Linked DNA regions of Callithrix jacchus. The protein of the gene in region 2 binds, or shares a complex with, the protein of the main gene of each other region. Links are inferred from orthologs where the notes say so. Each region holds a gene or a part of one and is shown on either strand. Other genes may lie near its edges.

What was found.
Region 1: the proteins of LRP6 (region 2) and DKK1 are in contact, whole or in part, in a crystal structure (PDB 3S8V), measured with the Homo sapiens proteins. The link is inferred for Callithrix jacchus from reciprocal best matches to the Homo sapiens genes LRP6 and DKK1. Residues at the interface, in NP_001401174.1 of Homo sapiens: Arg639, Glu663, Ser665, Ile681, Tyr706, Glu708, Thr724, Arg751, Trp767, Gly768, Gly769, Pro771, Val790, Gly791, Arg792, Asp811, Thr812, Asn813, Leu814, Pro833, His834, Phe836, Trp850, Ser851, Tyr875, Met877, Arg1184; in NP_036374.1 of Homo sapiens: Glu185, His204, Phe205, Trp206, Ile209, Gln218, Val219, Thr221, Arg224, Arg225, Ser228, Gly230, Leu231, Glu232, Ile233, Phe234, Arg236, Ser258, Leu260.
Region 3: the proteins of LRP6 (region 2) and SOST are in contact, whole or in part, in a crystal structure (PDB 6L6R), measured with the Homo sapiens proteins. The link is inferred for Callithrix jacchus from reciprocal best matches to the Homo sapiens genes LRP6 and SOST. Residues at the interface, in NP_001401174.1 of Homo sapiens: Arg28, Asp52, Val70, Ser71, Glu73, Leu95, Ser96, Asp98, Glu115, Arg141, Trp157, Trp183, Asn185, Ala201, His226, Phe228, Trp242, Met269, Arg336, His361, Asp379, His404, Asp406, Thr422, Glu447, Arg449, Trp465, Trp491, Asn493, His534; in NP_079513.1 of Homo sapiens: Leu115, Pro116, Asn117, Ala118, Ile119, Gly120, Arg121, Arg169, Thr171, Arg172, His174, Asn175, Gln176, Ser177.

Annotation. Positions count from the first base shown.
Region 1 is NC_133513.1:77,882,982-77,893,329, reverse strand, and holds DKK1 (dickkopf-related protein 1 precursor), read left to right. Parts: upstream 1-5,336; 5' UTR 5,337-5,516; coding exon 5,517-5,759; intron 5,760-5,997; coding exon 5,998-6,160; intron 6,161-7,373; coding exon 7,374-7,514; intron 7,515-7,630; coding exon 7,631-7,884; 3' UTR 7,885-8,731; downstream 8,732-10,348. UniProt on the Homo sapiens protein: Antagonizes canonical Wnt signaling by inhibiting LRP5/6 interaction with Wnt and by forming a ternary complex with the transmembrane protein KREMEN that promotes internalization of LRP5/6.
Region 2 is NC_133510.1:11,101,744-11,111,381, forward strand, and holds part of LRP6 (low-density lipoprotein receptor-related protein 6), read left to right. Parts: intron 1-1,964; coding exon 1,965-2,161; intron 2,162-5,369; coding exon 5,370-5,501; intron 5,502-8,019; coding exon 8,020-8,416; intron 8,417-9,432; coding exon 9,433-9,604; intron 9,605-9,638. UniProt on the Homo sapiens protein: Component of the Wnt-Fzd-LRP5-LRP6 complex that triggers beta-catenin signaling through inducing aggregation of receptor-ligand complexes into ribosome-sized signalosomes.
Region 3 is NC_133506.1:70,623,654-70,634,033, forward strand, and holds SOST (sclerostin), read right to left. Parts: upstream 6,377-10,380; 5' UTR 6,330-6,376; coding exon 6,110-6,329; intron 3,394-6,109; coding exon 2,972-3,393; 3' UTR 2,232-2,971; downstream 1-2,231. UniProt on the Homo sapiens protein: Negative regulator of bone growth that acts through inhibition of Wnt signaling and bone formation.

The DNA.
Region 1 (10,348 bases), on a different chromosome or scaffold from region 2:
TAGACTCCTCTGAAAATTATTTTATTTTTGTAATTTAAGGGTGATGAAAAATCCTTGCACGAATTAATTATACATCCCTCCTTCACTTCCCCGCCAGAAGTTAATAGTTCTATTTCATAGCCTACGTCTTCCACTCTGTAGCATTTCTTAAGCATACGGACTCTGCGTCTCAAGACTGAAGTGTTTTCCAAGTCCTGCTTTCTACTTTTCACCTAAGGTCCTTTGCAATTCACTAGTTTGAGAATACCACGGTGATAGCTGAAAAAAATCAGCTTTAAATAGTACAATAAATTTTGTGATGGGAAAAACAACGTTTCTACACACACGCACACACCTCTCTCTCTACACACACACACACACACACACACACACACACACACATCCTTTTTAGAAAGTCGCCTGGTTCAAGTAATTCACCTCGTTTCCAGCACTTAATACTTACCTACCAGTCCTCAAAATCGAATACTCAATATCGATGTGAGTGATTGTTACTTGATCTTAGGCTGCATAAAAGAACAGACTCCTTGCAGGATGTTCTTATTTAACCTGAGTACAAAAGGCCTTCCCTTGGCAGTGCTGAAAGAAAAAGAAAACAAAGAGAAAGAGAGACTTTCGTAGCGAAAAGGAACCTCTCCATCTCCCCTACATCCCATTTTATAAAGAAGAGCCAGCACCACACCACAAGTTAAATGGCTTTCCCATATTTAGGAGCCAGATAACGGCTGGCACCCACTGTACAGAGTTCCATCCCCAGCCTCCTGACCCCTTGGCATGACGTCTTTCTTGGCCGTAGTCTGGGAGAAAAGCTGCAAAGTACAGCAGGAGACTGGGAGCGGTGGCTCACGCCTGTAATCCCAGCAGTTTAGGAGACCAAGGTGGGAGGATCGCTTGTGCCCAGAGTTTATTACCTCTTTTAAGGAGGTAATAATAGGAACCCAGTGACATGGAGGAAAACTGTGTTTCTGTAAATGTGGAGACTGTTTCATGGGACCCTACATCCTGCTTTCTGCAGACACGGGCCTATCCTTAGGGTTGGAGATGTTAAATCCTTTAGGGGACTCAAAGGGGCTATTGCGCTCCCCATACCCACACACTGCAGCCCTTTCTGAGTGTGAGGACCTCAGAAAAGATGTAGGCAGATACCTATCTGGTTTAGGCACCATCTTCACTGGGTTTTAATTAAATGTTTCTGGGTTCCAGACTCTTAGCTTTTAATGTCCTGCTCCAGTAAAACACATCTTCTGAACTTGATTAGGAAGCTACCACGGGGCCTGACTTATCTGGGCTGGCCATCTCCACTGCTCGAATAAACGTAATCACGGCCAAATCTTGCCTTCTGTTTGTACTGAGGAGTGCAGAAAATCCAGCTCTCAGGGGAGTTAACATGGAACACAGGTCAAAAAGTTCTTTTAACATTATGAAGAACATTAAGACCAAACTGTTTTAAAAGTCAATGAGAAAGTCACAGCATTTTTTACAAAACATCAGGAAGGAGGAATCCTGCTATAAATACAAGATTGACACTAGCAAAAATGTTAACACCCACTATAAGGAATGATATTTAGGTAGTATTTTCCTAAGCAGAGTAAAATTATACAGCAACAAATTTGCTTCTTTTGATTTAATCAAGAGAAAGAAGGAAAGAAGTAAGGTAGGAAAGAAGTAAGATAGGAAAGGTAGTAAAAAAGAAAGGAGGGAATTCAAAATACAGCCATAGACTGGGCACCATGACTCATGCCTGTAATTCCAGCAATTTAGGAAAACCAAGGTGGGAGGACTGCTTGTACCCAAGAGTTTAAGACCAGCTCTGCCTGGTAACAAATTGAGACCCCGTTTCTACAAAAAAAGTTAAAAATTAGCCAGGTGCGGTGGCATTTAACTGTAGTCCCAGCTACTGTGGGATGGGGTAGGGGGATGAGGGGGTGAAGTGGAAGAATTCCTTGAGCCTGGGAGGTCAAGACTGCAGTTAGCTGTGATTGTCCCACTGTGCTCCAGCCTGAGCAACAGAAGGAGATCCTGTCTCAAAAAAATATATAAAATTAGAAAATTAAGCAGTCACAAATAACAGAAATGGAAAAACGGTGAATAGCATGGTGTGTTTTGGAGTATATTTGTCTGTCTCCCTCATGGATGAAAAGGTTGAGGAATATTCTATGCCTGGCATCCAGCACTTAAAATATAAAGAAGACATATGTTATTATGCTGTTCCTGAGTTATGAGGTTCAATTCCACGCTGTTAAGCATATTTCACCTATTTAAAAATATAATACAAAATATTAAACTTGTTGCATTAATTATGATCATATTTATACCAAATCAAATAGGAGGCAGGGTTCCCTACAGGACTAAATAAACTCAGTTTAATAAACTAAATTCACCTGCCCTGGTGCCCGCCTCCTCTGTCACCCAGCTGTAAGAAAGACTCGATCACCAGAACTCTCTCTCTCTTTCCTGACAGGTGTTGGTCACAGTTCCTGCTCCTTTTTCTTATTTCCCCATGACCAAGAATGTGCCAAAATATAATCAATGTTAGAAAAATGTTTACCTCCATCCCCATATAAGTATACTGTGTTTTCCCAACTACTCACAGACTGAAAGCTTTCTGAGGACAAGAGATCTGCCTTTCATATTTTGAGATATGCTCCCAATAACAGGTACTCACTGAATATTAACCAGCTGCTGATGAAACAATGAGGTTTACTGTACCTCTTTACCTACCTTGCACTCTTGTTGCCAGTGAGCAAACCACATCCTGGAAAGGATTTTCAAATGGAGAATCCACTCAAAAAGTATATTTCCCCATTTGGAACAAAGGGTTGGTTTACTGTGTTCTTAGCCCTCTCTGAGGAACACCCATATAATTTCTTACCTGAATATTTTGTGAGGTTACCTCTCTTCTGCCCACTATATGATCTGAAGGCAGATTATATGAGAATTCATCTTTTATCACTCGATTATGTATAATACTTAGCACAAAGTACGAACTCAGATATTGACCAACTCATTCTTCGTATTAAATTCATGACAACTTCAGGAATGTGAAAGATGAAGAAGGCAGAAGCTGGCCCACTCTTGAAACTCTGTGCTTGGTTTAGCTCTCCTAACTCAATACCACCGATTCTGTCCAGATTCAATGAATATTGAAACATAATAGACCTATGACCTATGTTCAGAGATCAAGGTTGAATTTATGCAACGGGCCTCTTTGTTATAACAGAATTCTTTTGTTAATTAAATTGTTCCACTCTTTTCTTTTGCCCCAGGAAATGGATTTTTTTGTGAAGCCAAGCTTTTAATGAACTAAGTTCATTAAATGTATTAATCATGTACTATCTCTTCAGTAAAAAAGGCAAGAGTTTGGCCGTAAGTGGGGCACAAATATATTTCTAGATTCTAAATATTTAAACAGGTAATAGGATTAAAAAGAAACATTTTCAACCTTGCAATTGGCAGGGGGATTTTTCTCTGCATTTCAACATCATTCAAACTTAACACAGCTTGCAGATTTTCTAGTACCCTGAAGGTGTTTAACGCATTGATTCCTGACAGGATAATTTCCTGGACAGATGGAATTTGGGATGGGAGGGATGCCAGTATAACTAGGGCACCATTCAAGAATTGTTTAGATGATGTTCTTAATATTACCTTTGAGACCAAAGGAACTACAACACAGACCATGGCAAATTGTGTTTTAATTACTCCTTCCCGTACTAAAGTTGAGAATTTCGTTACTTTAACACCTTCACTGGCTTTACTTGGTAGTGGCCCCAGTTCTGACTTTAGTAGGTCAGCATTATAGACAACCTAAATCTATACAGCTTAGAGGAGCACGGAACAAATATATCTTACTCTTTTTTATTCAATAGTGATTATTAAATCATATCTCCCTTTTCCAAACTCACAGAACAGTTGCTTATTTTCTGACACTTATAGTATCAACCTGCTTTAAAAGCATTATGTACATTTTTTATATTTATTTCTATAATTTTATTGTTACATCTTTTATTACTGTAATTAGAATAAAGAGAACTTTATTCTCTAAAATGAGAACTCTGTCTCATAAATATTAGTATTCACTGTGCCCTTTCCCCCACCACCCATCTCACCTAAACATTAAAACAATGAGGCAACAACCCAGAGGGCCACCCAGTACCAGGGCTCTAGGCTTCCAATGTGTTTTTGTTGAATTAAATAGATGACTTTCCATTTATAAGCATGATGCCATTCTTATATATCAGCCTTACTTTATTCTATCTACACAGCAATTTCAATGACGTCAGATTCACTGTCTAATTCACTTTCAGCTCTCCTCCTCCACGTAGTTTATCTCCCTAGAAGGTGTATTGCGTGGTCCTGTGCAAGGTTTGACTTGGGAGCAAACACTGCGTTGGGAAGCCTTGTGAAACCGTTTGCTAATGAGGAAGTCGGGATCTAAGCCCTAAGGGTTTCTTATCTCCCCGCATTAGCCCACCACTGAGAAGGCAGAACCCGAGAAAGGCGACTGACCCGGCACGTTGGACCCCGTCCGCTTTGGCCCCGGCCACTTTGATCTCACTCGTCTGCCTAATCAAGTTCATCTACTGCCGCGACTGCCCTGATTCAAAGAACAACATTAAATAGTTTGATTATCGGACGGGCATTTCCCTCTCCACTCCAACCTTGATCTAATTTCTAAACGCCAGTCTCTCGCCTCCCTCTCTAAACTTCCCATCAAAAGAGAATCAGCTCCTCTTCCTTCTTACCCTCGTTTGATGTGCAAATCTCCTCTTTGCACATTTTTATCGCAGTGGCGGGGGGAGGGAGGAGGAGGGCAACGGAACGACCTTAAAGCCAGGGACCTAACTCAGATCTACAAGCTGCGACTCTTAAAGGGTTAATGAGTAATGAGCAAAGAGGCGTCTTGCTAGAGCCACTGAATTACAGATCGGTTTGTATTTAATACTGAATACGACTTGTGTGCACAGTCAGCGAGTGTTGGCGTAAGCGAGAGGGGCGAAAAGTGCTTTTGCAGAGCGTGTCACCCCCTCGGCTCTGAAAAGTATTTCAGATCCGGATAATCCAACCCTTACCGCCAGGCAAGGGCACCCCTGTTCTCAGAGTTCCTCCTGCCGCCTGCATTTATTAAAGTCGTCTGCTCTGATGCTCGCTGGTCGCCCTCACCCCGAAGGTGAGCCGGGCGGGCCGAGCGACCCAGCAAGGGCGGTGGGTGAAGAGTGTCAAAGCCCCCCCTTCATGTACACAAACACACCCCCTCCCAGCCCCTCCCAGCGCTTTGAAATCCCATCCCGGCTTTGTTGTCTCGCTCCCAAGGGGCCGGAATGCTCCGGGCCGGCGGTATAAAGGCAGCCGCGGTGGCGGTGGCGGCTCAGAGCTCTGTGCTCCCTGCAGTCGGGACTCTGGGACCGCAGGGGGCTCCCGGAACCCTGACTGTGCAGCCGCACCGACACGGTTTCGCGGGGACCCAGGCTTGCAAAGTGACAGTCATTTTCTCTTTCTCCCTCTTGAGTCCTTCTGAGATGATGGCTCTGGGCGCAGCGGGAGCTGCCCGGGTCTTGGTTGCGCTGGTAGCGGCGGCTCTCGGCGGCCACCCTCTGCTGGGAGCGAGCGCCACCTTGAACTCGGTTCTCAATTCCAACGCCATCAAGAACCTGCCCCCACCGCTGGGCGGCGCTGCGGGGCACTCGGGCTCTGCAGTCAGCGCCGCGCCGGGAATTCTGTACCCTGGCGGGAATAAGTACCAGACCATTGACAACTACCAGGTGAGAGGCGTCGGGGAATCCGGGGATGCTGTGACCTTGAAAGGGTCGTATCTGGAGAGGAGGGAGTAGAACGTGATGAGTGTGTGCGTTTCAGCGAGCATTTGGTAACACTGCATTTGGGAGCCGTGGATGGTAACAGGTCCTGGAGAGGGGGACAGATAGGGACTGTGATCAGGTCCACTAGTGAGGGTACCTGAACGTCTGGATGCCTCACCCTCTCCCCGAACCCTTCCCACAGCCATACCCGTGCGGAGAGGACGAGGAGTGCGCCACCGATGAGTACTGCGCTAGTCCCACCCGCGGAGGGGACGCGGGCGTGCAAATCTGTCTCGCCTGCAGGAAGCGCCGAAAACGCTGCATGCGTCACGCTATGTGCTGCCCCGGGAATTTCTGCAAAAATGGTGAGTTCTGAAAGCTCCCTTTCACACGAAAACTGCCCGGCCTTTGAGCCTCTATAAATGGGGTTGGTGGGGGGGAGGGGGGAGGCGCGGGGAATCTCCGCCCTGAGAACACTGCGGCGCCACCTGCTAATGGGTGTACAGCAGTCAAGATTCAGCTGAAGTTATCTTCTTCATTGCAAGTGTTTGATCGGGAAGGAGAGAGAAGTTCGGAGGTCTCTGAGGTCCTTATCTTCCTCTGGGTCCCTCAATGATTTAACACAATGGCTTACCTCGTAGTGGACGCTTCCATAAAAATGTGTCTGGGGAGAACCTTGAGGTCAATTGAGAAGAGGGGTGATGGGTAGGACGGCTGGATCATACAGAGAGACCAAAGAAACCAGCTTTGGCGTTCAGCTGCCCTTTCCATTTTTCTTACTCTGTCTCTCACAGCTCTGCCAGACTGGCCTCTCCTTCTGATCCTTGGTGAAACTGTTGTCGGCCAGAGGACAGTGATTTATCAGCATTGGCCGTTTTCAAGAGAGATCTTGATAGGCGCACAGCCTGACCTCTCCATCCTTCCCCCTCCCTCTCCCCTCTGCTGCCTTAGTATAGGTACTCTTCCCCCAACCACAGATCCACTGACTCTTAGTTTTTCAAAGAGGTGGATTTAAACAGCTAAAGAGGTCTCCCGAAATAAACTAACAGGGCGACGGCCCTCCTTAGGACCCAGCAGTACTCCGGGATGAGCTAACTGAATCTCTGTAATATAGAAATTACACAGTAAAGTAACTGGTGGGTGAGACTGCAATGTTCCAGGCAGCTGGAATTGCATTTGCTTAACTTAGTCTGGCAGTACCCACATAGCACCAGGGGGAGAGAAGTTATTTTTAAGAACATTTTTTAAGTGACTGATTTTCTATTTCTTAACCCAAGGGTAATATTAAAATGGGCATAAATCTCACTTGCCCCTACCACAGTTGGTGGGAAAGTATTTTGAACGGCTATACTAGGTATGTAACATATGACTGACTGGATACAGTGTACACATTGGTGCTTCTGTCCATCTGGAGAGCTTTGCCTTAACAGTAGAGAGGAAGTTCGGCTTGTTTTTAAAATGATGTCACTGCAACGAAGTATCTCAAGTTGGTGCTGGCATAGCAGACTGCCACTGTCAGAGCTGTTAGCAGTAATGCATTACAACCCTGAAGTTAATCACTATTTCCTGCTTCCTTAGGAATATGTGTGTCTTCTGAGCAAACTCATTTCCGAGAGGAAATTGAGGAAACCATCACTGAAAGCTTTGGTAATGATCATAGCACCTTGGATGGATATTCTAGAAGAACTACATTGTCTTCAAAAATGTATCACACCAAAGGTAAGATGTTAAGACTCATTTTTAGCACATCAGAGGTGTCTTTTGAATTATTTAATGAAATGATGCAGGTTTACCAGTAACTGTGTACTTTTTTTCTGCTGTCTTCTCCTGTGTAGGACAAGAAGGTTCTGTCTGTCTCCGATCGTCAGACTGCGCCACAGGATTGTGTTGTGCTAGACACTTCTGGTCCAAGATCTGTAAACCTGTCCTCAAAGAAGGTCAAGTGTGTACCAAACACAGACGAAAAGGCTCCCATGGGCTGGAAATATTCCAACGCTGTTACTGCGGAGAAGGTCTGTCTTGCCGGAATCAGAAAGATCACCATCAAGCCAGTAATTCTTCTAGGCTTCACACTTGTCAGAGACACTAAATCGGCTATCCAAGTGCAGTGAACTCCTTTTATATAATAGATGATACGAAAATCTTTCACGACCTTCATCAACTCAATCCTACGGATATACAAGTTCTGTGGTTTCAGTTAAGCATTCCAATAACACCTTTCAAAAATCTGGAGTGTAAGAGCTTTGTTTCTTTATGGAACTCCCCTGTGATTGCAGTAAATTACTGTATTGTAAATTCTCAGTGTGGCACTTACCTGTAAATGCAACAAAACTTTTAATTATTTTTCTAAAGGTGCTGCACTGCCCATTATTCCTTCTGTTATGTAAATTTTTGTACACATTGATTGATATCTTGACTGACAAATATTCTATATTGAATTGAAATAAATCATTTCAGCTTATAGTTCTTAAAAGCATAACCTTTTCCCCCTTTTAATTCTAGAGTCTAGAATGCAAGGATCTCTTGGAATGACAAATGATAGTATCTAAAATTTAACAAGAAAATACTAGCATATTTTCTGAAATGTACTATCTTAATGCTTAAATTATATTTCTCTTTAGACTGTGATAGTTTCTGAAATAAAATTTAACATGTAATATGAAATGTTATAAGTAGACATATTTTGGGATTGTGATCTTAGGGGGGTGTGTGTGTGTGTGTGTGTGTGTGTGTGTTCTACGGGAACAGAAGTGTGACATGTTTAAAGATAATTAGAGAAAAGACAGTGTCTAAATATAAGAAAATACTGATCAGTTCTAGAATAACTTTAAAGAAAGATGTAATCTGCGTTGATAAACTCAAACGATCATAGTAGAATGAGAGTGAATCTTACATTACTGCTTTCAAAAATAGTTTCCAATAAATTAATAATACCTACCTAAACGGTCAATATTTTTGGAAAAGGAAGAAAATTGTCCACAAAAATAATACCTCAAAGTACTTGGAGGTTGTTGGGAACAGGATGCCTGCCCATAAATACAGTTAACAAATACATGCAGATTTTATATCAAACAAATTAATTTGAAGTATTTTAAGTACTACTACATGCAAAGGAAACTTGTTCTTACTTTGGTTTTAAAATAATTATTAATTAAAAATTACAAATCCTTCCTTATTCCACTCTTTTTTGCTCTTGCTAGGTGAGTTTAATATTTCAAGTATTGTTTAGCCTGAAATCTACTGATTGGAATGAGGATAGGGATACAGCATTTAAAAGAAAACCCACAGGAATGAAATCTAAATTGTCTTTGCATTTTTACTTGCTGAATTTCATATTGTTTATGCTGAGGAAAAGGGAAAGCAAACTTCCCAATGTATACTTTTTCTGTAGTATTCTAAAGTCTGTGCCCAAACCACAAAATGCTGTGTTTCAGGCAAGCAAAGGATAGTAGTGACTGATCAATTGTGCAAATATTTCCTTAACTAATGCAGATGTCCTAGACTGTTTGTTGTTTTTGTGTTCCTGGAAGTGGTTCAATTTCAAGGGGCTCAACCAATGGGACACAAGCTTTGGTTGGTTCTTCACTGAGAGAGGAACTGGCAGGATGTCTGCTGTTACATTCCTTTTGTCTGGAAGTCTCAGCTTCCTCACCCAGGAGAAACTTTCTTTTTCTGCATGTGCTTGTTTTCTGAAGTGCCAGGAAGGCCAATTCTAAGGCCTGCCATCTCCAATAAAGCACAATCAAGGAAAGGAAACAGGAAACTTTTTCTTCAAAAAGAAGAAAGAAGAGCCTTCTGCTTAAGTGGGGAAAAAAGCAAACTTTTAAAGGGCTGTAGTTATTGGATCCCTTCCATTCTACAGGAAGGGACCTCAGTACATTGACCCTCGTGATAGCCCTTCTTGCTTCTCATCTCCAGATGACAGATGTGTAGAGGAATACAAAACCAATCAAAGAGGGATGCCTCTTCTTCCATTCCAGCTGAGAAGTTAGGAAAAGGTTTTCATTAAAAAGAATTCTTCATATTTATTAAGGTGGAAAATATCAAGAAAATTGTAGATATTCTACTAGCTAGTAATGGAGGCTAGAAGATGGGAATCCGATAAAATGCAAATTCAAAAGAGGATTATTTAAGGAATCTAGAACAATTTGTGTAATGATTGTTTACAATGCTGTTGTTGCTGTGTGACTTTTAAACAATGCATTTTAATGGAAAATACATGCACCTGGGAAAATTTCACAAGGTATTTTTATGTCAAATGTTAGTATACTCTACACACTTCCCCGCACCTTCGTTTTTTTACTTTATGTGTCTTGCAGATCATTTTCTATAATACATAGAGAGGTGACTCATTCTTTTTAAAGGTTACATTAAGTTCGTAATATGTTGGAATGGCAATACCATAATTGTTTTAACCAGTGACATTTAAGTTGTTTCCAGAGTTTTTGATCTAACAAATAATGTGTCATGAGTATAGAGTTTTTGTTTGTGTGCCAATATAGTTGTAGGATGACTAATAGTTGAAGCAAAGTCCAAAATGCATGCTTTCTGTA
Region 2 (9,638 bases):
TTAATGAAAGTGTTAAGTACCAAGCATAGTGCCAAGTGGCTTTTGCATATGTTATTCAATCTTCACAGTGACTCAGTGAGAATAAATTATTACCTTCCATTAACAGATGAAGAAATAGAACTTGCAGAAGTGGTTTCAGTAGTAAGTGTCAAGTGGGGATTTAAGCTCATCTCTGATTTCTAATGTTATACGTTCAATTAATATATAAAATGAACATAGCTTTTGGGAATTTTGCCTTTTCCATATGATTATTTTCCTATTTAGTTCAGTAGAGTGAATTTTAACTTTTCATTTAATGGTATACTAAGAACCCTTTTAAGGCTTTTTCCCCCCTTGAGTTTTTCAGAGCAGTTTTTTAAGATAGTTGAAGTGCGAAGTAACTTAGTTTTAACTACTCTTTATTTTTCATTTGTGTTACTTGTCTTTTTTGGCAGCTTCCTCAGTTGTCTCTCCGTGTCTTACCATGAATTTTAGAAGACTTTAGTGTGAAATATACAGGTCTGTTTAAAATTGAATGTGAACTGTGCTGACACCCTGTAAAGAATATAGTCTCCTTAGTAAACTTAATAAAACTGTCCATTTAAAAAGTGGAAGAAAGAACTTCAGGAGTAGGCATTGTGGCAGTTCTCTTTGGGAAATGAGAGAGAATAGTAGTCTTTTTACTTAGGGAAGAGAGGATTAAGGAAAATGAGAAAACTAGTGATGTGGGTTGGGAGTACAGGTATCTTGCCTGAATATATAATGCTTTAGACTAAGACTGTTCCATGGGCAATCACAGATGCTAATTCTGCTTGCACATAAAAATGATCTGAATTGCTTTTGATTTAATATATTGGTAGTCTGTTAGATAATAGAAATCATCAGTTAACCTCAAGGACCTGAAAATTGAATCATCTTCCTTAAGACATATGATACTTTTGATTTCTCTTCAGTAGCTTATGTTTTCCTTTCCCCTTTCCCTTCGTTTTTCTTTCCCTTCCTCCTCTTCCTCTGCCCATCTCTGCCTTCTGGGTGGGCTATTGGAAAATGGATTTATGAAAAGATCAAAGCATGTATTTTCTTGAATGTTAAATTTGACTCAAATCGTGATTTGGTCATTATTCCAGAGCATTTGCTTATTCCGTAACTGTCTCTGATACTCTACAAAGTTCTGTGCCTTAAGTACTAACCAGACTGTCTACTTTTGCTTTTAAACAGTATGTATTGCTTGTGAAAATGTTGGTTCTGCTTTATCTCCTGCACATATTCTGCCAGTGGCAGGACTTCTTTTTGGCCGCCTGAATATAGTGAAAAGCCAGCTAAGATGATTATTTGCTGGAGCTAGACTGGGGTTTGCAGGGAGAGTGCTACCTGCATGCCATTTTGGCCTCATGTTTATGTTTCATTCTCAGTTATCAAAACCATAAGAAGGGATGGGCAAAACGGGCTCAGATTCTTTGTTCTTCTGTATCAAGAAGAAAAGCAACCTATTGCTTATATAAATCTACTTCAGTGCCAACTGTAACCCCTGTGATTTTTCTCATTACTTACCCTTCTCAGTCTGATAACATGAATTAAGTGAAAGGATGGATGCTTTGAGTCCAGAGATGGTAGTTGAAGGGTAGGATTTGACAGCAGTGCAGACAGTGAAAAAGCAGTGCTGTCTCTCTGCCGGGTATCTTATACTGAACTTGAGCCTGCTGCCAAGTTAGGGGCCATTTCGAAGTACTTGTTTGGGGGTTTTTGGACACCTTAAAAAACTTACATGAATTCATCATGTGAATTACTTTTTATAGGTATATTAGACCTAAAGGTATGTGTTACTCAAGATTTGTATGTGTTAATGAGACAGAGTGTCACTCTGTTGCCAAGGTTGGAGTGCAGTGGCACAATCTCAAGTCTAAGATTACTTTAATGAGAGAGGTGACGTTATGATAGAAGAAGAAAATTTAGAAGTAAGTTTGAATTTTTCTTTGTGTTAATAGGCAGGCAGTGGTTAAAGGTTCCCTTCCACATCCTTTTGCCTTGACGTTATTTGAGGACACATTGTACTGGACTGACTGGAACACACACTCCATTTTGGCTTGCAACAAGTATACTGGTGAGGGTCTGCATGAAATCCATTCTAACATCTTCTCGCCCATGGATATACATGTCTTCAGCCAACAGAGGCAGCCAAATGGTAAGTGATCCTTGATTTTTAAATTGCAATTTGGAACAGCTTTGTAGCACTCTAATGTCTGGCTTTAGTGAGGATCAGGAGGAGGGAGGGCATATCCAAAGGTAGTTGGTGGGAACAAAAAAGAGTTAAAATCTCAGCACTTTGGGAGGCCAAAGCAGACGGATCACATGAGGTCAGGAGTTTGAGGCAAGCCTGGCCAACATGGCGAAACCCTGACTCTACTAAAAAAAATTAGCAGGGTGTGGTGGTGTGTACCTATAGTCCCAGCTACTTGGGAGGCTAAGGCAGGAGAATCACTTGAACACGGGAAGTGGAGATTGCAGTTACTCGAGATTGTGCCATGCACTCCAACCTTGGCAACAGAGTGAGACTCTGTCTCAATAATAAAAGGAAAAATGTGAAAATATAATTCCGGTTAGATAGTAGCCTAGGCCGTTTGTAGCCTGTCACTGCAGACCCCCTCAGCACTTTTCTTGGGTCAGCAGTTATAGAGGTAGAGACGAGAGAGATAATTTAAAAATTGAGATAGCTTATATGCTAGGCTTATACACAAATGAATTTTTTATTCCTATTATTTCTTTCAAAAATTGTGGTTGAGTGTGTTCATGTGACTATGTTTAAAAAACAAACTCTTGGGCCAGGCGCAGTGGCTCACACCTGTAATCTTAGCACTTTGGGAGGCCAAGCCTGGTGGATCATTTGAGGTCAGGAGTTTGAGACCAGCCTGCCCAACATGGTGCAACTTCGTCTCTACTAAAATATCAAAAATATTAGCTGGGCTTGGTGGCACATGCTTGTAATCCCAGCTACTTGGGAGGCTGAGGCTGGAGAATTGTTTGAACCCAGGAGGCAGAGGTTGCAGTGAGCCGAGATCATGCCATTGCGCTTGAGCCTGGGCAACAAGAATGAAATTCTGTCTCAGGGGAAAGAAAACCCTCTTTTTTTTAAATGAAAACTCTGTTAATCTAGAATTTATTTGAATATAAGTACCTCAGCTTGCTAAATAAAACACCTACTTAAACTTTTCTGTGCAGCCTTCCCACCTTGTTTTCCTTAGTTTTGGTTCTATTTTTGGTCAGCCTTTACAATGACTTGGACTATGACTGCTGACAACTTGTAAGAGAGGACTGGAATTAGGTTTAAAGGAAAATGAGAATGTTAAGGGTTTGGCACTTGTGTGTAAATAAATGTCTGGCATGTGTCTGAGTGTATTTCAGATTTTATTCCATAGCCAAAAATGAAGAGTGTTTGTACCATGTGTTGCTTTATATTAGCTCTTTTCATTTAGGTGGAGATAATCAAATATTGAAAGTGTTATGTTGGAATCCAATGATCATGAGCCCATAAAAATGTTTTTAAATGTATGTGTTACTGTTCTGTACAAAAGAAAACGTTCAGTCACTCATATGAATTTTTTTATTCTCTATAGCCCTCAAAAGAATTTTCCCTGTTTTTTGTTTGTTTTTTTGAGATGGAGTCTTGCTCTGTTGTGTGTTGATGTGATTACAGCTAACTGCAGCCTCGAACTTCCAGGCTCAATCGATCTTCCCACCTCAACCTCCCAAGTAGCTGGGACTATAGGCATATGCTGCCACCACCATACCTGGCTAATTTTAGTTTAGTTTTTTTTTTTTTTGAGATGGACTTCCATTCTTGTTGCCCAGGCTGGTGATTCTTCTACCTCAGTTTCCTGAGTAGCTGGGATTACAGGCATGTGCCACCACGCCTGTCTAATTTTTTGTATTTTTAGGAGAGACAAGGTTTCTCGATATGCTGGTGTCGATATCCTGACCTCAGGTGATTTGCCCACCTTGGCCTCCCAAAGTGCTGGGATTATAGGTATGAGCCACTGCACCTGGCCTAATTTTAGTACTTTTTATAGACGCAGGATCTCATCTCTCCATGTTGTTCAGGCTGGTCTCAAGCTCCTGGACTCAAATTATCCATCCATCTTATCCTCCCAAAGTGCTGGGATTATAGTCATAAGCCACCGTGCCTGGCCTCCTGTTTTTCTTTTCTTTTTTTTTTTTTTTTTTTTTTTTGAGACGGAGTTTTGCTCTTGTTACCCAGGCTGGAGTGCAATGGCGCGATCTCGGCTCACCGCAACCTCCGCCTCCTGGGTTCAGGCAATTTTCCTGCCTCAGCCTCCGGAGTAGCTGGGATTACAGGCACGCGCCACCATGCCCAGCTAATTTTTTGTATTTTTAGTAGAGATGGGGTTTCACCATGTTGACCAGGATGGTCTCGATCTCCTGACCTCGTGATCCACCCGCCTCAGCCTCCCACAGTGCTGGGATTACAGGCGTTGTTTTTCTTTTTAAATGGCACTGTTGGTCCTTTATGTTTTAGTAATTTGAGAATTTACAGTTATCTTTCATATTGATTACTTTTATCTTTCATGTTCCATTGCTCTCCATCTTCTGTTGATTTTTTTTCTATGAGTATTGTTTGGACATGTCCCTTTTCATAATTTCTAATTTTGCTAATTAGTTTTCTCTGCTTTTTATTTCCCCACTTTTCTGCTTATTCCTTCTATGTTAATCTTCCCAAAGCATGACTTGTTAACATAATTACTTTTCTTGGCTTTCAGTGTCCTTCACCTCAGTCTGTTCCCATTCTTCATACTCATTCAGCTTTAGTTTCTATTAGTCAATAGAAACCGTAACCTCCAGTTATACTGTTGATCTTATTATCTTAACTCGTTTATGGCCCCCAAGGTTTTATTCAGATAGCTTTACCACACTTGAAATGTCCTCTTACCTATCCTTCCACAAAGTGGATATAATTATCCTTAAAGGCTCCTGTGCTAGATCCTCCACAAAGTTCTTCAATTCTTTAAACCTCAGGGTTTTTTTTTTTCCCATTTGACTCTGTACTTGTTGTCTATAATGTGTAAAATAACACTTAGTTTTTTTGATTTCTATTTGTTTTAGTTTTTCTTTTTTTGTTGTTAATTTTGTTTAATGGACTAAATTATAACCTCTTTTAGGGCAGGGATTTCCTGTTTTACTTCTTTTATATTCTTTGGATACAAAATACTTAGTAAATTTACACTGATTATTTCCTTTCCTTGCAATGGTTTGGTAGTTAAGCACCTGCATGACATTTGGTAATAATTTTGGCTTATCACAGTTGTTCATGTTATGGTTGTTAACCTTTGTGTACTTAGTAATCATTGGTATTAATCAATGTGATTTATATTTGACAGCTACAAATCTATGTGCAATTGACAATGGTGGTTGTTCCCATTTGTGTTTGATGTCTCCAGTCAAACCTTTTTATCAGTGTGCTTGCCCCACTGGGGTCAAACTCCTGGAGAATGGAAAAACTTGCAAAGATGGTAAGACATTATCTAAAATGAAAAGTTTTAAAACTATTGGAATTCCTCATTATTTGTTTTTTCTATAATTGGCTGTCTAGGTTATAGTGCTTTGGGAGACCAGTCACTTAATCTCACAATCTTCACACATGGTTATAGGAGTGTTTTATTCTATGACATCATTTGAATGCTATTTTATACATTATTTTCGTGTTGTAAGTAACATTTTTGAAAAAAATGACATGCTCTATCTTTTCTGTCAAATCTCATAGTTATCGATACCAAAATTGATAACTATAGAAATGAGTGTTACTTCTCATAAAGAATATATTTTTAACAGGTAGCATTTGTAAATAAAGAACATCTCTGAAAGGAAATATGTTTATTAAACTTTTAGTTACAAAGAATATGAGATACATTTTCTAACAAATGATTTAAGGATATTTTAAATTGCTTTTTAACAATAGAGATGCTTTCAGAAGAAGAAAAAAATACATATTGTACTGTTTTAAACAACTTCTTTTTATACTTAAGAAACACACTGCCTCTTCTCCTTACTCTTAATTCCCTATAGAGAGAGGGCATGTTGGAGAAAGTATACTGATTTAGGACATTTCAAGGGACTTCTGGTTTGGAAGAACACCAGTTCTTCTGTTTTTCTTCTTAATGAGAATGTTATTCATTCTCATCCCTATGGATCACCATCTTGTTCTCTAGCAACCAGCAAGACCTGGTAAGAAAATTGTTATATTTAGCCATGGCTTCTTTATCTAACCTGAAAAGCAGAAGCCTGTACTTTGGAGTGTGTTAGAGTCCCTGGCAAGGGGGCCAGGGAGTCAGAGAGATGGAATTGAGTCTGTGTACAGGATATTTGTTATGACTTGGCATTGATAAATTATCCTTATAGTAAAAGGTGAAGCTGGCTGACTCCTGTCAAATGGTTTCCATGGCAGACAACAATTTGGTTTCAATTTAAAACAAAAGGTTTTTGTAATGTTGCTTTTTTCTTTAAAAATGTAGCCTGACTACATAAACAGAGGATTTATTTGAGCAATAATGGGTCTATCTACTCCCTCACAGCAGTGCAAGTGTACGTGTTTAACCAGTTTTGAATTTCATGTGTGCATTTGGCATGTAATAGCCTTAAGTTTAACTGTTCTGTTTTGATCACCTTGCTCAAATTAACAGCTCTATGACTTCTTTGTGAAGTTCTGGGCTGGCGCCTTTTGGTTGTTAGCTGGAGCAGTGAATTGTGCAGTTATTCCTGCTTGGTTCCTGCTATCGCATTTGGGCTGTATTTTCTCCAGGTTGGAATTCATTTATAATTAACTCTAGAGTGAAAAAGCCGATATTGAGAGCCTTCACTCCTTTTCTCCGTCTTTTAACCTGTAATTCTAGATAGACGCTTGAAGCTTATATGCCAGCATTCTGTTTTGGACTCATTCGTTTAGCTGGGAATCTTTTCTTGCCCTTTCAGCTGTCAATTTGCTTACCGTCTTTTATTAGCTTCTTATAGTAAGATAATTTTTTGTTGGTGGTTTAACATTTAAAATGAAAAAAGATTGAGCTCAATATCCTCATTCTCAGTTATGTGGTTGAATATTTGGGGCTTGGGCTTAAAACATTTCATAAATAAATCTAATTTTAAATTCAGTGCTTTATTTTTTAGCACTATTAGTAAGTATTGTTAATGTTTCTTGAGTACTTCCATGTTCAGTACCTTCCTGAGTTATATATTTATCTCCTTTAACCCTTACAGCAACCTTACGAGGTATAGATGAGAAAACTAAGCCTAGAGAGATTAGATATTTTCCCAAAGTTTGTGTAGCTACTTGAATCAGATTATATTGGATCTGCAACTCTTACTGTTAACCACTGTGTTATGTTTATCTGGTTTCTTCCCTCCGTTGCTACTGTTTACTTCTCCATAGCTTGCTTTGTTCTCAATTCTGTGAGGTACTGCCTTATATTTCTCTTTGTTAAGACAGCTTTATTGAGATATAACTTACCATATAAAAATCCGTCCATTTTTTTAAGTGTAAAATTCAGTGATTTTTAAAGTAAATTTACAGACTTATGCAGTTATCACCACAATCCAATTTTAGAACATTGCTATCAACCACAAAGGTTCTTGTCCTAGATTTCTTTATCTTTTTTAAAAAAAATGCTTCTTGAACAAAGACTCTGTATCCTCCATCTCTTTCTCCTTTAACACTCAGCTACTTAGTCATTACATAGTCATTATTCATTGTACTTTTAACTAGCTGGATTAATTCCAGAAGCTGTAGAATCAATGAAACCATAGAGTGTGACACAACTTGATTTGAAGACATAGTTGTTAAACAGCTTGCCCTCAGAGTAGACTCTCCCTATTTCACTGTATTACCTTCCAGCTCCACTCTAAAGAGAGCTCATATCCTTTTATGTTAATTTATGTAATTAATATATATTTTATATTTATTTTTCAGTTGATTCTTTAGAGCAGATAAATTTTACCTCCGGGTTTCAAACTGTTTTTCGTTTCGCTTTGTTTTTCTAGGTGCCACTGAATTACTGCTTTTAGCTCGAAGGACAGACTTGAGACGCATTTCGTTGGATACACCAGATTTTACAGACATTGTTCTGCAGTTGGAAGACATCCGTCATGCCATCGCCGTAGATTACGATCCTGTGGAAGGCTACATCTACTGGACTGATGATGAAGTGAGGGCCATACGCCGTTCATTCTTAGATGGGTCTGGCAGTCAGTTTGTGGTCACTGCTCAAATTGCCCATCCTGATGGTGTTGCTGTGGACTGGATTGCACGAAATCTTTATTGGACAGACACTGGCACTGATCGAATAGAAGTGACAAGGCTCAATGGGACCATGAGGAAGATCTTGATTTCAGAGGACTTAGAAGAACCCCGGGCTATTGTGTTAGATCCCATGGTTGGGTAAGAAGCTCTACTGATAGTAAATTCTGTGTGGTATTTCAATTTTTCACAGGTTCCTAAAAACATTGACTGAAATAACATAACATATATTGGTTTCTAATAAACAGGTAATTAGAATACAATCTCAAGTTAAAAAAATTGCTAGTTTTTTGCCTTGGATGTTTTAGGTATTTTTTCTTTCTAAATTAAGTCCATGTTTGCTGACTTTGGGTGTTGTCTGCAGATTTTGCTCATATTGCATCATTACCATGAAAAATGTGGAAAGAAATTGTTTTCAGAACTCTTTCCCTTTCCCTGGAAGCTTCAATTCCATTTTAAGTATTTTATAGTAAGAATATAGCTTACTTTATGTTTCCCTAAATACGTGAATGACTTGAATTCCAGAACTTTGTCCGGCCATGCAGCTTTACTCCTAGCTTCTTGTTGTTTCGTTTTGCCATGCCACCCTGACTATATAGTCTAGGGAAGTACCACTTCTTACATACCCAACAGTTTTATTGTTACTGTGATATTCTGAGGACGAGCATAGTGACAAATTATACCTCAGTATATATCAATGTCTTAGAGCCACTTAAACATCCAGGAGCCATAAGAATCACTTAGCACTGCAGGAAGAAATGGTTATTTTTGTAATTCTGTTTGCCGTCTGATTGATATTGCTGGGATAATCCTTTTGTACCAGAAGTGACAAGCCGTGAAGGAAGAGAGAAAGTTCATGGAAAAGGGCACAAAAATGTTTAAAAAAAAAAAAAAAAAAGGTAAAACTGGAATCTCATTATTGGGAGGCATTTTCAGGATTGGCTCTAAAACATGCTGTTTGATGTGAAAATTTCCTACAATCTTATATACTGCTGTGATAAATGTCTTAAACACACTCTTCATATGTTTTTTTTTTTCCTTTCTATGGCATTAACTGATGATACCAGTGTAATAGGAGGAGTGGATCTCACCTTTAGAATATCTGAAAGTTATATTTTATTGTCTATTTTTAGCTCATTCTTTGTATACTTCCATAGGTACATGTATTGGACTGACTGGGGAGAAATTCCGAAAATTGAGCGAGCAGCTCTGGATGGTTCTGACCGTGTAGTATTGGTTAACACTTCTCTTGGTTGGCCAAATGGTTTAGCCTTGGATTATGATGAAGGCAAAGTATACTGGGGAGATGCCAAAACAGACAAAATTGAGGTTTGTTTTTTGCTTTTTCATTTTGAAGCCACTT
Region 3 (10,380 bases), on a different chromosome or scaffold from region 2:
TGTGGCACCATACACCTGTAATCCCGGCTACTTGGGAGGCTGAGGCAGGAGAATCGCTTGAACCTGGGAGAGCAGAAGTTGCAGTGAGCCAAGATTTTGCCACTGCACTCCAGCCTGGTGACACAGTAAGACTCTCTCTAAAAAAAAACACCCAAAAAAAACCCACAAACCTGGCCCAGAGCCTGTGTCCCCACCCACTGGACTATACTGCCTCCCAGGGCTGAAAGATGTCTCTGCATCCTACCTGCCCTCATATTCCAAGGCCTGAGACACTCATGAAGCATGGAATTTCTGCAGGTGCTCACTGAGGCATCCTCAGGGGCTGGAGCCACAGGAAGGAGCTGGCCACTGATACCCACTCATACCTATCAAAGACTTGATAATGATGATGAATTCAAGCAGCTTACTGGGAGTTAAACTGACAAGTCATCAGGAGGGACCTCAGCTTTCTTTGGGGAGTGGGTTCCCCAAGATAGGCTGGGATTAATTTAAAGCTTTCCAGCTGACCAGCCCATCTTAGGGCAACTGAAGGGTCACATTGAAGTTACTCTTTATCTGACGATGCTAACTCAGCTAGCATCCAGCATTATTAGACACCCTGGAGAGGTGAGACTTTGAGAGAAGTACAGGACGTTGGCCCTGCTTTTGAAGATCCTACATTTTCACCCGGGAGGCATAAAATCCACACTTGGAACTAAGACGAAACTCCCTTTGAGCTGGTCCTGAATTGTACTTGGCTTCCTGTTATCTATGCCTCTACTAAGCAGGGCTTGGCCAGGCTGGTCCTCCATGAATGATTGTCAAATGGAAAACAGAATTGGGAACCAGAGTAGTGGTGTGGACAAAAGGGGCTGGAACCTCGGAGGAGAGAGGATCGTGGGAGATGGACTACTCTGCAACATGGGGGGAAGAGGTGACAACATGAATCCTAAAGAAAGGGGATTAGTTATTGGGGTGCTCAGTGTAGATGGCAAACTTAGGAAGCAGGGACCTGCACGACCATTTGGAGTTGGTAGGAAGCTTGGCAGAGTAGGAGGTGGGAGTCAAGCAGGAACGGCCTCCCATGTCAGACTGGGAAACCCGCACCTGATCCTGGGCAAGGGAGAGCTATTGAAGGCTCTTGAGCAGGGGAGTGATACAATGAGAACAGCATTTTTGGAAGCCAGCATGGAGGGCAGGCTGTAAAAGGAGACAAGGCTGAGGTTATGACAATGCCCTGGGTGAAGAAATGAGGTCTGGGTTTGTAAAGGAAGGGACAAACATGACTTTTCAAAGGAAGACATAATTGCCACAAGGGCCACCAGAGAGCCGTCAAAGCTGTGTCCAAGGCTTGAGCCCTAGTGACCGACAGAAGGGTGTCAACTTTGACATAAATGGTATCGCGTGTGGTCAACAAAATGAGACCACATCGTTCGGTCATGATTCATTGCCTTTATTAACAATGTCTCTGGACTGGAAGAACAGACTGTTATTTCATAAGCAATATTAACATTGCCATTCTCTGCAAGAAAAACTTTTGCATAAATAACTTAAGTGAGAAAATAAATATGTAACTTAACTCTTTAAAAACCACGACTTTCATTCTTGTGGACAAGTCCCACGTGGAAGGATTGTAAGAAACGACCAGTCCTGCAGGCTTTCGTATGGCATCTGCTTCTGTTTAAAACATTTTTTTAAAAAAAACAAAAACTACATGGAAAGTAAGAGGTTGTCTGGAAATGATTTTAAAAAAGATTTTTGGGTGGCAGCTATTACGCTCTGCAGCCACTCAGCATATGTACAGCACTTGTGATCTTTCTCCCCATAATATTCTTTTAGTGTAAGAAATGCTATCACATGTAAGAGGAGGAAGAAGCTGTTTTCTAGGCAGAAATGTGTCTGTGAGCGGTGGGCAGAAGGTGGCTGGTCTGGGAGTGTGTGGTGGCTGCTCTCTCGGGCCTGCTAGACTAGTGTTGTGGGACCTTGAACTTCTCTTCGGAGGTGACTTTAAGAAATGGCTGTGGGTCGGGGCAGGGATGCTGCTCTTTGGGAAGTCGGTGAGGGATGTGGTTTCTATCCCTCCCACCACCTTCAGGACCCTCTCCTTCTCTGCCCCAGTGGATGATGTTATTCCTTTGAGATGGAGGGGTGGAGATAGCCAAACATCTGGGAGGCCAGGCTGGGAAGCAACTTAGCTTCTTCCAGGGGTTTGTCAGCCAGAAATATGTCAGCCAGAAATAGACTCTTTACTCTTTCTTTTTCCTGTTTGTTTCTCATCTTTGGCTGTCAGATGAGAGCATCACAACTCAGAATTCTGGAAGTGACATTGGCATTGAGTCAATGCAACCTCATTCATGTATTCTCTCTCTCTCTCTCTCATCTCTGCCCATTCAAAAGGCACTGGAGTGCTTGGAACCATACACCAGTAGAATCCTCGAGATCCTAAACCCACCTCCACCCTCATTTTACAAAGTGGAAATTGAGGTCCTGAAAGAGAATTGTGGAGTTCAAGGTCACACAGCAAGTTAGTGGCAGAGACAGGACTAGAAACCACATCTACAGATGCCCCTAGTCTTGTGCTCTGGGCAGCCACAGGCTTTCTGATGGGCAGTGAGGTGCAGGGGGAATCTTATCCAACTTTCTTAACCGGTCCCTGGACTTGTCACACTCCCACACGGCTCCCTTAAACCCCCAGGGCTGTGAAAACACTTCCATTTCTGCCTCCTCTGAAGTGGGACCAGCAAAGGTAGGCGACCCCGGAGGCGGGGCGGCGTGGCTCAGTGTCTGTGACTCTCAACTCCCTCCCCTATCACCACCGGCTGAGGTGAGCCTTGCTGGTGCCCGGGATGCTGCAGGGCCTGGAAGGTCTGGGCCCCCTGCCCTGGGTTGCAGGCATTTACAATGAAATATAAACAATCGAACCACGCGTGGAGGACAGAAATATGGGGCGCAGGGCCGGGGCGCCTGCCGCGGGGTGGGGTGTGGGTGGACTCTAGTAGGCGTTCTCCAGCTCAGCCTGGTTGGCTTTGGCGCCCCGGGCGCGGGGGCGCGGCTTCCGGCCCTTCTGCGGCCTCGCTGCCTCGGGCCCGAAGTCCTTGAGCTCCGACTGGTTGTGGAAGCGGGTGAGGCGCTTGCACTTGCACGAGGCCACCAGGCGCACCTTGCGCGCGCGTGGGGCCGCACCGCCGGGACACAGCAGCTGCACGCGCTGTGCGCGGTAGCGGTCGGGGATGCAGCGAAAGTCAGGCCCGCTCGGGCGCCACCATTTGCCACGTCCGATGGCGTTGGGCAGCAGGCGCGCGGGGCCGCACTGGCCGGAGCACACCAGCTCGGTGACCGGCTTGGCGCTGCGGCACGGCCCGTCGGTCACGTAGCGGGTGAAGTGCAGCTCGCGGCAGCTGTACTCGGACACGTCTGCGGAGAGAGACACGCGTGAGGGTGGCCGCCCACGCGGCCACCACAGCTCTGGCCCGTCCTGGCCCCCTCCACCCCAGCCCTGCTTTTGCAAAGCCCGCCTCTCCCGGTCTCCAGAGGTTTTTGCCCCTGAACACCTATTGCAGGAAGGTCCCAGATCCTCTAGAGCTGGTGGAAAGCTCTCCTGCGCACCCTGTCTCCTCAGAGCCAAATGGCTGCTGGGGTGCAAACACCAGGGCTATCGCTCACTGCAGGTGGCATCTTGGGCAAGTTCCTTAACCTCTCTCTTCCAGTCTGTAAAATGGGCTGCCCCAAGCATTGTGAGTTAATCCATTAGGCACGCAATGCAGAGAATGCCATTTGGCACACACAGCTGGAAGCATCAGCTGTTATTATGTATTATTATTATTTCTCTCCTACGGGTCCTCTTATGATTTAAGCCACACTTATGCCGCAGGGACCCTGGCCTGGGCAGGGTAAGTAAGTACTCGCCACACCTTCTGCCTGGCTCTGGCTTTTCCCAAATTCCTTTCCCAGCCACTTGGGGGGAGGTGAACAGGAGATGAAGAAAGGAGTAGAGGTTAATTGAAGGTAATAAATCAGGGCAGCTGCTGTGGAGGTGACAGAAGGGGAGGTGATCAGGATAGGAATTCATTAGACTTGAAAGGAATCAAAGGCACAGTGTCCAACCCTCTCGTTATCAGTAAGAATACTGAGGCCCAGCCACAGAAAAGAACGTGCCCAAAAGACAGGGCTGTGTGATCCAGACTTCACTTCCTGGGGTCGCAGCACCTTTTGGCTCCCATAAGAGTGGAGGCTGTGCGTTCGAGCACTGGTGGGAGGCTGGGCTGGGGGACAGAGCTGAGGGCTGCTTTTTGCTCTAGTAGAGGCCTCAACTCTGACCAAAACCTACAGGTGCAGCAGCCACATACATTCACCCAGCTGTCTGCTGGGCACATTTCTTGTTCTGTGTTATTTGAATGGGCACCTCATGGTGATACTCCCTGGGCGGGCGGAGATTGGGTTTGGAGGAATGGCCTGATCCCCTGAGAACACCTTGACCATGTCTCCTACTGTGGACTTGGGTGGGAGCTTTTTAAATAGCTGGTCCTTGTGTGAGTACCAGTCCACCCCCAGAGGTTTCATGGGGATAGTTCCGATGTGACATGAAAGAATCAAAAATAGTCTTCAGACCAAACCAGAGAGGGGGCAGAGAAGGCCACTCCCACCCTACCCCCACTCTGAAGAGCAAGCACAGCAGGGGAGATGTGGCCACTGCCATCGTCTGGGGTTGCTTTCTGGTTTGCACCCTCACCTTTGTAGGGCTGGGATGTGTACTGGGGGGGCCTTTGCCCAGGGAAGGGGGCATTTTGGGGCTTTCCAAGAATAGTGCCCTTAGGTCAGTCACTTCCTCTGCAGATTGTGACTTTGTTTTGAGCATGTGGCTTCCTCGGGGCCGTGGCGCCTCAGGGAAGCCCAGCAAGGTGGACAGCTTGTGTTTGGGTTCCCTACAGCCCTTCAGGCAGTCACTGGAGGCCAGCTGACCTTGCCTAGAAGGGGGGCTGTGGGAGGAGGCACCTTTGCCCTCCATTTCAAAGGCACAGGGTCCTGGCTGGCCTCCCCTGTGGTGGCCCTTTTTAGCACCCCATAACCCCAACATGTTGTGAGGCAGAGAAGGCTGGGGTGCAGGAGCCTGGGCAGTGGGCTTCTCTGCCACCTGGATAATGGCCAGAGGGCAGTGAAGCCCTTGGTCTGAAGTGTCACTCCTGTCCCCACCCACAGCCCCGTGATTCCTGCCAACCGTAGAAGCAAATGTGCACACTGTCAACTGGGCTTCTCTGTGCAGGCCTGACAGGAACCTGTCAGGGTTCTCCTTTCCTTCTCCCTCCCCTGGAATGAGGCAAGGCTGGGACTGGGCTGGCCACTGAGGACAGATGTGCCTACTCCGGCACAGAGGATGCTGTGTGCCCTCTAGGACCTGGACACTGCTGCACCCATGTCAGGGGCTAAACCTGTGCCGACAATGCCCATTCCTTCAAATGCCAGCTCCCTGGGCAGGCCATGGGCAATGCACACTGCAGGGGTGCCTCTCTGGCCTTCCTCCCCACTGCTTTGTGGGGATCTGTCCCCAGCACACCTGCACACCAGGGCTGTCTTGCAGTTGAATCAAACCAAGTTCTTCTCCTCACTACCAAGTTACTGAGTGCCTGGAACCTGTTTCTTTCCCTTTGAGCTGGGGGTTCACCTCCTGGGATTCCTGTGTGGTGGGGACAGCCACAGGCAGCATAGAGTGTCTGGCACCCCACAGTTGCTGCTCTGTGGATGGGAGGCTCCCTCACCTTGTTCCCTCCCCAATGGTACCAGCAGTTGAACGTGGTTCCTATATTCCCAGGAGGAGATTCTTTGAAACCTTTTCTTTTTTGAGCCCCTGAGCCTGTTCTGATGCCCTGATGCCATACCCTCACCACCCCAGCCTCCTCCCTGCCCTGGACTCTCACTGACAGACTCCACCTGGCCTCATGCCCCTGCACCTGAATTCAAAGGCTGCACCAGAGCCATCCTTCCCCCGCCTCCAGTCAAAACTGTTCTTCCACCAGTGCTGGCAGAGGCCAGCAGTCTTCACTGGGTCTACCCCAGTCTTCAAAGCCTCCCAAAGAGAAGTTTCTAAAACCTCCCCAGGACCCTTTTACTAGGAATTCTCTCCTCCACCCCATACCTTTGGTCTCAAAAGGGTGGTGGGGAGGCCGCCCTCCGTTCTCCGCCCGGTTCATGGTCTTGTTGTTCTCCAGCTCTGGTGGAGGCTCGGGGTACTCTCCCAGCTCAGGGATGATTTCCGTGGCATCGTTCTTGAAGGCCTGCCACCCCTGGGCCTCCACCACACAGAAGGCTGCGTGCACCAGCAGGCAGATGAGACATAGGGCTAGAGGGAGCTGCATGGTGCCAGCCAGAGGAGGGCACGCAGCCTTCCAGTAGCACAGGCTCTGGTCCCCAGCCGAGACACGGTTGCCTTTTTAAAGCCCCCCTCTGCCTCATGCCAGCCAATGAGGACAGGCTGGGGCAGGGCTGGTCCCCTGTTTCCCTCAGCCCCGGGGGGAGGGAAAGGGGTGTGCTCAGGGCAAACCCTCCCTAAAGACTTCTCCTCTAGCTCAGCAAACTTCCAAATTGCTGCTGGCACTCCCAGGTGACCCAGAGAGAGGGGGCGTGTGAGGCTTGGCCCAAGCCTGCTCTCCAGCACCTCCCACGTGCTGGTGGCTGTGGTTTTCAGATATCAAAATGAGCTCCGGCTTTTAATTGTCCCTGGGCCCTCAGGCATTCTCAAAACAAGCCAAGTTCATTTGCCACCCCACCAACAAATGGCCCACAGGGTGTCTGTTTGACCCCCATAGACCCAGCCAGAGGCAGAAAGATGCTTTTTAAGAAATCCCATTGGTCCCAACTCCACAAGTCTCAGCACTGACTGTCCTGACCAAGGAAGCCTCTCTCTTGGCATTTTCTGGAAGGCAAGAGAGAGAACTAGAGGGCCAGAGCAAGGGTGGCCACTTGGGAGAGGGGACAGGACTCTGGTTACGAGTGGAGGATGTGCTGGTCACTCAGGCTCCCGTGATGTGGCTCACAGAGGAAATCCCAGCTCACGCTCCTCAGGGATCCTGTGCACCGCGACAGGCATGACAGGCACTTCCAAGCCAGGACCCTCACTGTGGCTCACAGGGGGATGGGCTGAAGACAGTCATTTCCCAGCCAGGCTGTGGGTGCGAGCAGATAACACCAAATTCCTTTCCTTAGCAAAAGCTATGGCCAGCATTTTTTAGTGCTGACATTTTTTTTTCTCGCCTTCCATCCGGTTACATTTTTCAAAAACAGTTTCTGGTCCTATATGGGAATCTTCATTGGTGCATACCACAGGTTGTGTTCCATGAAGCCACCCCAGGACCAACCAGTCACAAAGCAGCTAAGAGAAACTTGGCTCTGCATAGGATGAGGGGCACAGGACCCGGGGGCAGGTAGAGGCAGTGGGGAGAAAGGTTCACGCCTGAGGTGCAAGAATAGAAAGGAGGGCAGGAGGAAGCTTTCATTGAAGACAGATTCTTTGAGGATGAGCAGCTCCTGGGAAGAGGCTGCCCAGATCCTCCTGGTATTTTAACTGGGCAATGAATGAATCAGTACGCCCCACCTGCAGAGCCTCTGCAAGGCCTTTGCCACCTGCCTCAACTTGCAAGTGGCTGTGTCCATCTGCAGCTGACTGTTGTCCTTTCCATCATCCATCACCTGACACATGAATGCAGCTGCTCTGACAGTTTTACAAGCCAGACAGAAGCCCCCTCAGGAAGGGCCCTCTCTGATACCTGCTTCCTAAGTCAGTTTCCTTCAGGGCAAATGAAAACAGCTGTGGCCATTGTTGGGGGTGATCTATCTCTCCCAGCAGAGCCGATAGTGTTGTGAGAAGCTGGCCCTCCACACCCCCTCTCCTTGTCTGTGACCCTCCAGCCTCCTTTTCCCTTGCTCTGGAATGTGGACTGTTAACCCTCTCGTGGCCAGACAACTGCCTTCTTGCAATGGACTTGCGAGAGAGCAGTTCTGATGCCTGGGTTCCTTGAGCAGACAGGATGGATGCTTAGAGCCCCACCTGCTGTTGGGAGCGGCTGGACCATCTGCAGAGACAGCAGGATCCATCCCTGGAACATGTCTGCCACCTGCTGGAGACAAAAGGAAGGACGATTCTTCAGTCGCAAGGATGGTAAGGCTCAGGACTGGGCATGATTTCCTTTCCTTATTTTATTTGGAAGTGAACTAATATTAAATGAAAAAAAGAAGACTCCAGTGGACTTGAACCTCTAAATGACCTCCATCCCTCTGAATGGCTCAGCAAGAACCTGCTATGATATCTTGTGCCATTTTGTTTAATGCGAAGTCATCCACAGCCGTTTAGTTATACTCAGTCCACAGACTTGGCATTGTTCACAGTATTCCCTGGAATTATTTAGCTCATTCCTACTGTGAGTAGTTTAGGTTATTTCCAATTTTTTCCTATTCTCAGCAAGGCTACTATGAACATCTTTGTATGGTTTATTTATTTTTTGAGACAGTCTCGCTCTGTCACCTACACTGGGGTGCAATGGGACAATCTCAGCTCACTGCAACCTCCACCTCCTGGGCTCAAGGATTCTCTTGCCTTAGCTTCCCAAGCAGCTGAGACTGCAGGAGTGTGCCACCACACCCAGCTACTTTTTGTACTTTTAGTAGAGACACGGTTTTGCCATTTTGGCTAGGCTGCTCTTGAACTGCTGACTTCAGATCCATCTGCCTCTGCCTCGCAAAGTGCTGGGATTACAGGCGTGAGCCACCGCACCCAGCCTCAGAGTAATTTTTTTAATTAAAATTTTAAATTTGAATATAATTGTAAGCTTAAATATACTTGTAAGAAATAAATACAAGCCTGGGCAACATGATGAGACCTAATCTCTACAAAAAATTTAAAAATTAGCTTGGCATGGGGTCACACACCTGTGGTCTCAGCTACTCAGGAGGCTGAGGTGGGAGGATCACTTGAGGTTGAGGTTGAGGTTGAGGCTGCAGTGAGCCACAATTGTGACACTGCACCCCAGCCTGGATAACAGAGTGAGACCCTGTCTCAAAAAAAGAAAGAAAGAAAAAAAAGAAAGAAAGAAAGAAAGAAAGAAAGAAAGAAAGAAAGAGAGAGAGAGAGAGAGAGAGAGAGAGAAAGAAAGAAAGAAAGAAAGAAAGAAAGAAAGAAAGAAAGAAAGGAAGGAAGGAAGGAAGGAAGAAAGAAAGAGAAAGAAAGAATACAGACTCCATGTATTCTTTATCCAGTTTCCCGCAACAATAACACCTTGCGAAACTACAGGACAATATCACAACTAGGATATTGACATTGACACAATTAGCCAATCTTATCCACATCTCCCACAGTGTTACCTGTACTCTGTGTGTGCACAACTATTCATGTGTGTGTATACTTAGTTCTTATGCAATCTTGTCACGTGTAAATTTGGGGATCCACCAAGATAAACCACAGCTCTGTGACCACAGGTTTTTCTCCCGTTACCCACCTCCCTCCCACATCTAACCCCTGGCAACTACTATTCTAATCTCCATTTCTGTCTTTTTTTTTTTTTTCACTTCAAAACTGATACCTAAATGCACCCGGGCACAGTGGCTCACGCCTATAATCCCAGCACTTTGGGAGACTGAGGCAGGTGAATCACTTGAGGTCAGGAGTTCAAGACCAGCCTGGCCAACATGGCAAAACCCTGTCTCTACTAAAAATACAAAAATTAGCTTGGTGTGGTGGTGCGCACCTGTAGTCCCAGCTACTTAGGAAGCTAACGCAAGAGAATCAGTTGAACCTGGGAGGTAGAGGTTGCAGTGAGCTGAAATTGAGCCACCGCACTCTAGCCTGTGTGACAGAGTGAGACTGTTAAAAAAAAAAAAGTTATATAAATGGAATAAATTTGTATGTAGCCTTAGGGGATTTTTTTTCACTCAGCATAATTTCCTGGAGGGTTATCCAAGTTGTACATATCAGTAACATGTTCCTTTTTTCCCTTTTTTTGGCTGAGTAGTATTCCACAAAGTAAAACAAAAAAACTTTAGAGTTATTTCTCAAAGTGAATGCTGTGTCTGAGGGAGTGAAAAGTTGGTGGGTCTGATGAGGGTATTGCAGGGCTGTTTTCCAGAAAACTCAGCCAGGTCCCCGCCCTCGCCCACAACACAGAGGCCCCCATAGGTGGCACTTTGCTGAGGCTGCCGTCAGTCAGTACCACACACGGGGCGGGATCAGCAACAGAAGCTGTCGCAGAGCTGGAGTTTAGGAGTGTGAGTTCAAGATGCAGAGTTGGTTCCTTTGAGGATGTGAGGAAGGCCTTGCCCTTGCCTTCTGCTGGCTGCTGAGGAGCTTTGGCATTCACTGGCTTGCAGAAGAGTCAGCCCCAGTCTCTGCCTTCATCTTCAGATGGCATCCTCTCTGTA